Linked DNA regions of Arabidopsis thaliana. The protein of the gene in region 1 interacts with the protein of each later gene in a pairwise test. Each region holds a gene or a part of one and is shown in the gene's direction. Other genes may lie near its edges. The genes, in order: RK2 and PUB9.

Region 1 (6,546 bases):
AAGTGATTCAAAACATATTGAAAATCTACCACAGCACATGGTTTCATTGTATAATCACATGTGTGGTAATAGGGAAGATTACTTGACGGAAAAGAAATTGCGGTAAAGAGACTATCGAAAATGTCCTCACAAGGGACCGATGAGTTCATGAACGAGGTTAGATTAATTGCAAAGCTTCAGCACATAAACCTTGTCCGGCTTCTAGGTTGTTGCGTCGATAAGGGTGAGAAGATGTTGATCTATGAGTACTTGGAGAATTTAAGCCTTGACTCGCATCTCTTTGGTTAGTGACTCAAACAGCTTCTGTTCTAATAATTGAACATTTTTGTGAAAACGTTAACTTGTTGTTGGTTGTGTTGGATGTGTAGACCAAACACGAAGCTCTAACTTAAATTGGCAAAAGAGATTTGATATTATCAATGGTATTGCTAGAGGACTTCTATATCTTCACCAAGATTCACGGTGTAGGATTATCCATAGAGACTTGAAAGCAAGTAACGTATTGCTTGATAAAAATATGACTCCAAAGATCTCGGATTTCGGTATGGCGAGGATCTTTGGACGGGAGGAGACAGAGGCTAATACAAGGAGGGTGGTCGGAACTTAGTAAGCAATCATTCTTCAACAAAACAAAAAAAGAGCTTTTATCTCAAGTCCAAATATTTTCTTAAAAACCTCATAACATATGAGTTTATATTTTGTTATGCAGCGGCTACATGTCTCCAGAATATGCAATGGACGGGATATTCTCGATGAAGTCGGATGTTTTCAGCTTTGGGGTCTTGCTTCTAGAGATTATAAGTGGAAAAAGAAACAAAGGATTCTACAACTCAAACCGTGATCTTAATCTCCTCGGTTTTGTAAGCTAAAAACCTCTTCAATTCGATATTGTTTTGCATTCATAATCTGATTATAACACTAAAGAAATATTACATCCTTTATGCACAGGTGTGGAGGCATTGGAAGGAAGGAAACGAGCTAGAGATTGTAGATCCGATCAACATCGATTCTTTGTCATCAAAGTTCCCGACACATGAAATCTTAAGATGTATACAAATTGGTCTCTTGTGTGTTCAAGAACGAGCCGAAGACAGACCAGTGATGTCCTCGGTAATGGTGATGCTTGGAAGCGAAACTACCGCTATTCCTCAGCCTAAACGTCCTGGATTTTGCATTGGTAGAAGTCCTCTTGAGGCTGATTCTTCTTCAAGTACACAGCGCGACGATGAATGTACAGTGAACCAAATCACTCTCTCGGTCATTGACGCTCGGTAATTTGTAACTTACGGCCCAATCTGTTTACATGCATATCATTTTATAGGTAAGTCTAAATAGATTTTATTACTACATATATGATTCGATATCTTGCTCTATCTAATTTAATTTAGACAAAAGATTCACCACATGTTTCACATGATTTTGATTTAGAGCGAGAATTATAAAAAAAAAACATTTAGACAAAGACAAAAAAATGCAAGATTTGGAGTTGTCACTCCAAGATTTGAAGTTTGAGACCGAAACTCAATTAAGTGGGAATTCAGTAATGATTAATATTCACTTTTTGTACATACTACTGATAATAGACCAATACTGGAAGCGAACATAGGACTTTATGGCTATTACAACAGAGGACTTTATGAAACAAATCGAATATATACCTTAAACTTTTATGAATTCATCGGTGAAGCATTCTCTTGCATATAACATTTAGTATGTCGCCAGCAACATTGAAATTTTGTCTATTCTCGTACACACACACACAAATGGTTGAGGATATTATTTTTTTGGAGTAAACGAAGAAAAGTCAGTTACTAGGAAATTACAAAACCATAATTATCAATTTAACGACTTTTAAGGTCATTGACTCAATTCTATAGTGACATAGTCTATAGATATTTCAAAAGCGAACAAGAAGACCAAGAAAATGTAGCTGAAAATGAAATATTATCAACAATAGAGAGAAATCGTGTAAATGACGTTCACACATTTCAACACCAAACATGTCGTAATCTCCGAAGATAAAAATTCTCAATTATATGTACATAAAATTTTCATAAGAAGAAAATAAAACAGAACACAAGAAAGTGTCCTAGCTAGAGAGAGAGAGAGAGATGAGAAATGTACCAAACTATCATCATTCTTACTTCATATTATTCATCATAATTCTGTTTCTTGCTTTCTCTGTTTATGCAAGCAACTTTTCAGCCACAGAATCTCTCACTATCTCAAGCAACAAAACCATTATATCTCCTAGTCAAATCTTCGAGCTCGGTTTCTTCAATCCCGACTCAAGTTCACGTTGGTATCTCGGCATATGGTACAAGATAATCCCTATAAGAACCTACGTATGGGTTGCAAACAGAGACAATCCTCTCTCTAGTTCCAACGGAACTCTCAAAATATCCGACAATAACCTCGTCATTTTCGATCAGTCCGATAGGCCTGTTTGGTCGACGAATATAACCGGAGGAGATGTGAGATCACCAGTGGCTGCAGAGCTTCTTGATTACGGTAATTTTGTTCTTAGAGACTCCAAAAATAATAAACCAAGTGGATTTTTGTGGCAGAGTTTCGATTTCCCGACAGATACTTTACTATCGGATATGAAAATGGGATGGGATAACAAAAGCGGAGGATTCAACAGAATCTTGAGATCTTGGAAAACCACAGATGATCCGTCAAGCGGAGATTTCTCGACTAAACTCCGAACCAGCGGGTTCCCGGAGTTTTACATATACAACAAAGAGTCCATAACGTACAGGAGCGGTCCATGGCTCGGAAATCGGTTTAGCAGCGTACCGGGGATGAAACCAGTTGATTACATAGACAACAGTTTCACAGAGAATAATCAACAAGTTGTTTACTCATACCGAGTCAACAAAACCAACATTTACTCGATATTAAGCCTAAGCTCCACGGGACTATTACAACGATTAACTTGGATGGAGGCAGCACAGAGTTGGAAACAGTTATGGTACTCACCAAAGGACCTATGTGATAACTACAAAGAGTGTGGGAATTACGGTTATTGCGATGCGAACACTTCACCTATTTGTAATTGTATCAAAGGGTTTGAGCCAATGAATGAGCAAGCGGCTTTGAGAGATGATTCTGTTGGTTGCGTGAGGAAGACGAAGCTAAGCTGTGACGGTAGAGATGGGTTTGTGCGGTTGAAGAAGATGAGACTGCCAGATACTACAGAGACAAGTGTGGACAAAGGAATTGGGTTGAAAGAATGTGAAGAGAGGTGCCTAAAGGGTTGTAATTGTACGGCGTTTGCTAATACGGATATTCGTAATGGCGGTTCAGGTTGTGTGATTTGGTCCGGAGGGCTGTTCGATATCCGAAATTATGCTAAGGGAGGTCAGGATCTTTACGTTAGAGTAGCTGCTGGTGATCTAGGTTAGTTTTTCTTTGCTCTTTTGGTTTTTATTTTATTGTTTAGTTGACTAATAGGTTCTAAGCCAAGGTCCGTAACATAACGGCTTGATCCACTAGGTCCGACCATATAAAGAGTATATGGTCCACAAAGTATCTTGTTGATGTTTGGTCAATTTTTTTAGTTTATTACTTGAAGATATACAAAATACTAGAATAACTTATATATCAAAAGATTAATATGGCTTAAGCTAGTTCCAATACCAAAAAATATATTAATTATTTTGTTTATGTTATTGAATAATATTTTATCAAAAATACGTAAGTACAACAAAGTATACTTTGGAGTTATTATTATGATTGAAGAAAATATATGCCTCGTCTTTATTGCAGAGGACAAGAGAATCAAAAGTAAAAAAATCATAGGTTCGAGTATTGGAGTGAGCATTTTGCTTCTTTTAAGTTTCATCATCTTCCATTTTTGGAAAAGGAAGCAGAAGCGATCAATAACAATTCAAACACCTATTGGTAAATCAACAGCTTTCATTTCCTTTATTTTTACTTCAATTTTTGATAATTAAATGTCTTAATTGTTTTTTTCTGTGTGTCTAAATGAAACAGTTGATCTTGTGAGAAGCCAAGATTCTCTAATGAACGAATTGGTAAAAGCAAGCAGGAGTTACACATCCAAAGAAAACAAAACCGATTATCTAGAGCTCCCATTGATGGAGTGGAAAGCTTTAGCCATGGCAACAAACAATTTTTCGACGGACAATAAGCTTGGACAAGGTGGTTTTGGTATTGTTTACAAGGTAAACATGACTCATAACTTGTTGAAAATCTATCACTGGCAATGGTTTCATTGAATAATCAAATGTGTGGTAATAGGGAATGTTACTTGATGGAAAAGAAATCGCGGTAAAGAGACTATCGAAAATGTCTTCACAAGGGACCGATGAGTTCATGAACGAGGTTAGATTAATTGCAAAGCTTCAGCACATAAACCTTGTCCGGCTTCTAGGTTGTTGCGTCGATAAGGGTGAGAAGATGTTGATCTATGAGTACTTGGAGAATCTAAGCCTTGACTCGCATCTCTTTGGTTAGTGACTCAAACAGCTTCTGTTCTAATAATTGAACATCTTTGTGAAAACGTTAACTTGTTGTTGGTTGTGTTGGATGTGTAGACCAAACACGAAGCTCTAACTTAAATTGGCAAAAGAGATTTGATATTATCAATGGTATTGCTAGAGGACTTCTATATCTTCACCAAGATTCACGGTGTAGGATTATCCATAGAGACTTGAAAGCAAGTAACGTATTGCTTGATAAAAATATGACTCCAAAGATCTCCGATTTTGGGATGGCGAGGATCTTTGGACGGGAGGAGACAGAGGCTAATACAAGGAGGGTGGTCGGAACTTAGTAAGCAATCATTCTTCAACAAAACAAAAAAAGAGCTTTTATCTCAAGTCCAAATATTTTCTTAAAAACCTCATAACATATGAGTTTATATTTTGTTATGCAGCGGCTACATGTCTCCAGAATATGCAATGGACGGGATATTCTCGATGAAGTCGGATGTTTTCAGCTTTGGGGTCTTGCTTCTAGAGATTATAAGTGGAAAAAGAAACAAAGGATTCTACAACTCAAACCGTGATCTTAATCTCCTTGGTTTTGTAAGCTAAATACCTCTTCAATTCGATATTGTTTTGCATTCATAATCTGATTATAACGCTAAAGAAATATTACATCCTTTATGCACAGGTGTGGAGGCATTGGAAGGAAGGAAAAGAGCTAGAGATTGTAGATCCGATCAACATCGATGCTTTGTCATCAGAATTCCCGACACATGAAATCTTAAGATGTATACAAATTGGTCTCTTGTGTGTTCAAGAACGAGCCGAAGACAGACCAGTGATGTCCTCGGTAATGGTGATGCTTGGAAGCGAAACTACGGCTATTCCTCAGCCTAAACGTCCTGGTTTTTGCGTGGGGAGAAGTTCTCTTGAGGTTGATTCTTCGTCAAGTACACAGCGAGACGATGAATGTACAGTGAACCAAGTCACTCTCTCGGTCATTGACGCTCGGTAATATGTAAGATTGTAAGTTATCGACCCACTCTTTTTATATAAAAATATAGACACAGGGCAGTAAGGTCTCCACACTAGGGGCTGATACTTTGCATCAGTCAGTGATACCTTGTGTAACAAGTTTCCTTTGCCTCCATGGAACGTATACAAAAGTTGTATTCAACTTCGTTGTAAATATAATTAAGATAAAAAGAAAAAACCAAAGAGGGTATAAACCCACAAGGATAGCTACAATTTCCGGAGATCCGGATGAGGAGGAAGCATGATACCAAGCTTGAGAATCCTTACAAAATCCCACTACTGCGATAGCATTATATTTATAGTGAAGAAAAATTGTGATCTAAGATGATACACATGTTCAGTGATCACTGATCAATGACCAATTTAAGTATGTCTGACAAATAGCAAAAGATAATAAGAGAAAAGTCACAAAAGGACGCAAAAGAAGCAGACACACAATGTTTTAAAAGACCAAAAGGAATACCAAATTGTCTGCTTTTGACAAAGAAACAGTCAAATTTCACTTAGGATCTTTGGGGTTAGATGTTGAAAGTTGAACCTTTCTTCTAATCTTCCACAGTTTCTTTAGCTTCACTTGTTTCCTGCAAAACAAATAAACAGAGAATATTACTGAAACTGCTTTGAAATCTCAAAGACTCATCAAATAAGCCTTACTTGATAGGTTTAGGACTCACAGTTTCCTCTTCCACAACACTGAGCAACGCAAATGATCTCGAAACATCGCTTACAATATCTTTCTTTGAACAAGAATTGGAATCAACCGGCCATTGCATTGGTACAACTAAATCACTGCATCATTGTGAAAACATAAAAACATAAATTTCTCATGTTTCAGATTAAATTAACACCACAAAAATTTAACTAACTCACCCTTGAGAGCATATGTATCGACACCGACTTATCTTGCCTTTCGTGTATCGCCTGTAATGTTTCTCTAGATGTTCTGTAACACGAGAAACATCAGTAGATGGCAAAACCTGCCAGATCTTCAAAACTTGTACATGTTGATTATTATTCTTGAAAATATCTATCGCCCAAATAAGACTTAAGCCATCAT
Region 2 (4,737 bases), on another chromosome or scaffold:
AGAAAAAAAACGACAGTTCGAAGATAACGAGGGCATTAGAAAGGGACACGTGGGTTAGAGGGTGGTCCTACGTAAACTGATTTTTTATCAGCAGTCCAGCTTGGCACTTGTGAGATTCTCTTCTGTGTTTGCAGATGAGTGGTGCCCACTTCTCAGAAATAATAGATATTATTCATACACGTGTCTATTTCAAAATGCCACTCAATAATAGTTGGTCTACTAACAACTTCAAATTTGAGAATTGAGTTGACACTATTCTAACCTCAACACTTTGTATCGTTGTATATGAACATCGATCACCCACTCTTATGGATGGTGGTTAAATAAACCGAAGTACAATAGTATTTTTTTTTATAAAAAAAATCCATACAAATTTAAACAAATTCAATAAATGTACTAATAATTTTAGTTTGAAGTTCTAACAATTAACAATGTAGACAAAGTGCCAAGACAAATTCCGTGGCCAATATATATAACTTGGTTTAGTTAAAACATTTGTTGGAATTAAAACATATTTTCAAAATTTCATGTTTTGGTGGAAGAAGTCGTTTTCACCTTTTAAATTTGTTTCAGACATGGAGTGATGTGTCATCTTGTTTAATATTATTGTCTACAGAATGTTACTAAAAGGTGAAAACCAAATCTTGATAAAGAAGTTAATTATAAAACAAAATCTTCCGGTTACATTTTTTTGGTTTTTTTGAATGTTATAGATTTGGTCAACTCTCTTAATTCATCCAATCACGCGTCGAAAGCTATAATAACACTTGGTTGCTTTTTTTTTTTTAATACAATTTTGTTTTTAAAACGTTTAGAACAAAAATAAAAAGAAGAAAAAGAAAGAGTGAAAAACGGCAGGGGTAAAAACGTCAAAGAAGAAATAGAGAGAGAGAGTGAAGAGGAGTACAACAGAATCCACGCGGAAAGACAGCTGTTCCCATGTTGGAATAACTGTGCGGGTCCCACTTTCATTACACTCACTCCTCTCGCACATCTTCTAATTTTCGCCGCCGTTACCGTCTTTGGAATTTTTTTTGGTTTACCACACTAATGTTACATTTTTCGTTAGAGATGATTTTGTTTTTTGATTACAACCTCCTACGACGTTTGAGTTATTGAGATTACTTTTATAAATTTCCTTACTCTGTTTCTTTGGGTCAACAATTCAAACAATGATGGTAATGGAGTGATCAATTGACAAAAAAAAAACACGAATCAAACAATGATCGATTATATAAAGCTGTTATGGTCTAATAACTGAATAATAAAATCATCATAAGTAAGGAACCAAATTCGAATACTCGCAATAAACCAATAATAGTAATTTAGTGGATAAAATAATAGTTATGGGTTCGGTGTCTTAAAGATTTGAGTTTGATCATCGTAATTCGTAAACCTTTGAAACATTTTCTGTTTTTTTCACAAACTTTTGGGAATATTTGTTTTGGCTTGACAAACTCTCCAAATAGCTCTTTCGTCGTTTAAAATCTCTTAGTTACAAAACAATGTATTGAGGTTTCGAACTCCCAAAACCAAACACAAGGGAAAGATGAAAACCATTAGGCCGATCAATTACTATTAAGTTATAACTAGCTAAATTACCAATAACGTGTATGGATTTATACCCAAAAAAATAAGTAAACGTGTATGAGTCTACGAGACAAATCGTGTCGGCTGTATTTTGACACCTTAGTCGCGAGGTAGGTCATACGTGCTGCATTATTAAATTCTTAATTTTGGTCGAATTAATTAGTAAATACTCCTAAATAATGACGTGGCAAATTCGGTGCAGGCCACAATTCTATTATAGTGAAGCACTAGAGTACAACAACAACACTTGTGCCTCTTCTTCTCTCTTCCTCATATTTATTACTCTCTCTTTCACAAACACACAGAAAATAAATAAATAAAATTAATTAATGTGAGAAAATCAATTCAAAAATTTGGACATACGTATCATCTGAGAGAAGAAGGGTTTGGTGAATACCGGCGGGTGGAACCGACGGCGATGGCGAAGACCGGTGTTTTCGATTCGGATCCGACGGCGATTGCTAAAGCCAAGGAACTGAAGCGTGAGATGAAGAAGTTGCTGATTAAGATCGATGACGAAGATGATTTGGGTGTTCAGACGATTGATCAGTTACAGGACGCTTTGTCTGCGTTGAGAGAAGCGACGATGAGGAAGATGGCGAAATCTTCCTCGTTAGAGATGCTCGAGACTGTGTCTTGTCCTGAGGAGTTTCGTTGTCCTCTCTCTAATGAGCTTATGAGGGATCCCGTCGTTTTGGCTTCTGGTCAGGTTTGTGAACGTCGCATTTCGATTCAATTCTTCTTCTTCTAGGGTTTTGAATTTTGCTGTTTCTGTGTTAGGTGACTGAAAATTTTGGATTTTTGGGGGAATTTTGATTGGCTTGAAACTTTTTCATCTGTTTTCTCGACCCGACTGAGAGAATCCGACTCAGGTTTCATAAAGTTCTTGTTTTGTCGGTAGTTTCGGTAATGATTTTCGAAACGATGAAATCTGGAGATTTTATCATGTAAATGAAAAAAGTGATTTTTAGAGGATAATTATGTGTTCCTTAGCTTGTTTAATAAATCTGGAAAGCATATAACTAAAAATTTATATATTTGTGTGTGATTTTGCAGACATACGACAAGTTATTTATCCAGAAATGGTTGAGCTCAGGGAACAGAACATGTCCCAAGACTCAGCAAGTTCTGCCTCACACGGCTTTAACACCTAATCTCTTAATCCGTGAAATGATCTCGAAATGGTGCAAGAAGAACGGGCTTGAGACGAAGAGCCAATATCATCCCAACCTTGTAAATGAAGATGAAACTGTGACAAGATCAGATCGTGAGATTTTCAATTCCTTGCTCTGTAAAGTCTCTTCTTCGAACCTTCAAGATCAAAAATCAGCTGCCAAGGAGCTAAGACTTCTGACCAGGAAAGGCACTGAGTTCCGAGCTCTTTTTGGCGAATCTCCGGATGAGATCACCAGGTTGGTGAATCCCTTGTTACACGGGTCAAACCCAGATGAGAAGCTTCAAGAAGATGTGGTTACAACATTGTTGAACATATCAATACATGATGACAGCAACAAGAAGCTCGTCTGCGAAAATCCTAATGTGATTCCTCTCCTTATCGATGCATTGAGGCGTGGAACAGTCGCCACGAGAAGCAATGCAGCTGCAGCGATCTTCACTCTGTCAGCTCTCGATTCAAACAAAGTACTTATAGGGAAGTCCGGAATCCTGAAACCGCTTATCGATCTCCTAGAAGAAGGGAATCCATTAGCTATCAAAGACGTAGCTGCAGCGATCTTCACTCTTTGTATAGCCCATGAGAACAGGAGTAGAGCTGTGAGAGACGGAGCTGTTAGGGTTTTAGGTAAGAAAATCTCGAATGGGTTGTACGTTGATGAGCTTTTAGCTATATTGGCAATGCTTGTTACTCACTGGAAGGCTGTGGAGGAATTGGGTGAGCTCGGTGGGGTTTCATGGTTGCTGAAGATAACTCGAGAGAGCGAGTGCAAGCGAAACAAAGAGAATGCGATAGTGATACTGCATACTATATGTTTCAGCGACAGGACAAAGTGGAAGGAGATCAAAGAAGAGGAGAATGCTCATGGAACGATAACAAAGCTTTCGCGTGAAGGAACTTCAAGGGCGCAGAGGAAAGCAAACGGGATATTGGACAGACTGAGAAAAGCTATGAATCTCACTCATACAGCCTGAGAAAAGCCTTGAAATCTGCAATGTAAATTACCTAAAATCTTGTTTCTTTTTTTTACTTTATTTGGCTGTAAGAATTTTTGTAAATTATTCATATCTTTAGGATCTGAATGGTTATTGGTTTTCGTATGTGAGATGTAAGTAGAAATCTGTGTGAATAGTTTTTGCGTTTGATGTTTCTGGAGAAATCAATCAATAAAATCAATGTTGGTGGCTTTATTCAGCTGTGAAAGCCTTGGTCAACAAGTAACAGTGTGTAGCTTTTCGTCTGTTTCTGTGTATAAATAAGTAGATTATTAAAAATACATAGAAAGGCTGTCATGTCGTGTTCCTCACATCACTGATAAACCACAAAGCAAATCAATCTAATTCCACTCTCTCTGGAAAAAGAGTTTATTACAGAGTCACGAGTTTTCCATTGATGTGATTTTTTCTCTATGTAATGTAACGTGACGATGTGATTCCTATTGTCGTGTTAGAAAAAAACAGTACTTTTAAGTTTATTTATATATAAATAAATACTCATCAAAGCTTATAAATAAATTTCGACTATCACTGATGAATTATAAGTTTTGTTAGAAAACATAACGGAGTAGTTTTGTAATATATTTCTAAAAAATGTTCTAGACAAGGCAAGAAGCATGTAAGTAATGATAAAAATCACATGTATTTGGTTGGTTGGATTGCTTGGAAGTTAGAATTGAATCACGAAATTGCTAAAACTCGTGATTCGTAATAATTACAGGTCAACATATCGTGAGAAAGTTGAAAAAATGGAATATTTAATAGAGAGGATAGAATATGGATTCGTCCTAAACCACTCTTTGGTGTTATTCCTCACCAAACTTTCACAGAAAAGCCAAGAAAAGAAAGAATTTGATGCTTTCTTTTTAACTTTTTATCCCCAAGAAGTAACGTTTACAATTCATTGGATACAAAAAAAGAAATAAATCCCATAAAGGAAGAAAAAGAATCGTAATAATCCACAACCACAATGGTGGG

The links.
Region 2: the proteins of RK2 (region 1) and PUB9 interact in a two-hybrid assay, tested with the Arabidopsis thaliana proteins (one study listed by BioGRID).

Annotation. Positions count from the first base shown.
Region 1 is NC_003070.9:24,471,055-24,477,600, forward strand, and holds RK2 (receptor kinase 2), read left to right. Parts: upstream 1-1,818; 5' UTR 1,819-2,111; coding exon 2,112-3,402; intron 3,403-3,771; coding exon 3,772-3,906; intron 3,907-3,999; coding exon 4,000-4,190; intron 4,191-4,266; coding exon 4,267-4,477; coding exon of another isoform or gene 4,478-4,482; exon of another isoform or gene 4,483-4,562; coding exon 4,563-4,800; intron 4,801-4,903; coding exon 4,904-5,054; intron 5,055-5,142; coding exon 5,143-5,469; 3' UTR 5,470-5,833; downstream 5,834-6,546. Other genes in the region: RK1 (receptor kinase 1), read left to right, coding at 73-283, 369-606, 710-860, 949-1,275; AT1G65810 (P-loop containing nucleoside triphosphate hydrolases superfamily protein), read right to left, coding at 5,989-6,070, 6,144-6,278, 6,360-6,546.
Region 2 is NC_003074.8:2,352,876-2,357,612, forward strand, and holds PUB9 (plant U-box 9), read left to right. Parts: upstream 1-1,764; 5' UTR 1,765-2,008; coding exon 2,009-2,299; exon of another isoform or gene 2,300-2,646; coding exon 2,647-3,738; 3' UTR 3,739-3,990; downstream 3,991-4,737. UniProt on the Arabidopsis thaliana protein: Functions as an E3 ubiquitin ligase. May be involved in the abscisic acid-mediated signaling pathway, at least during germination.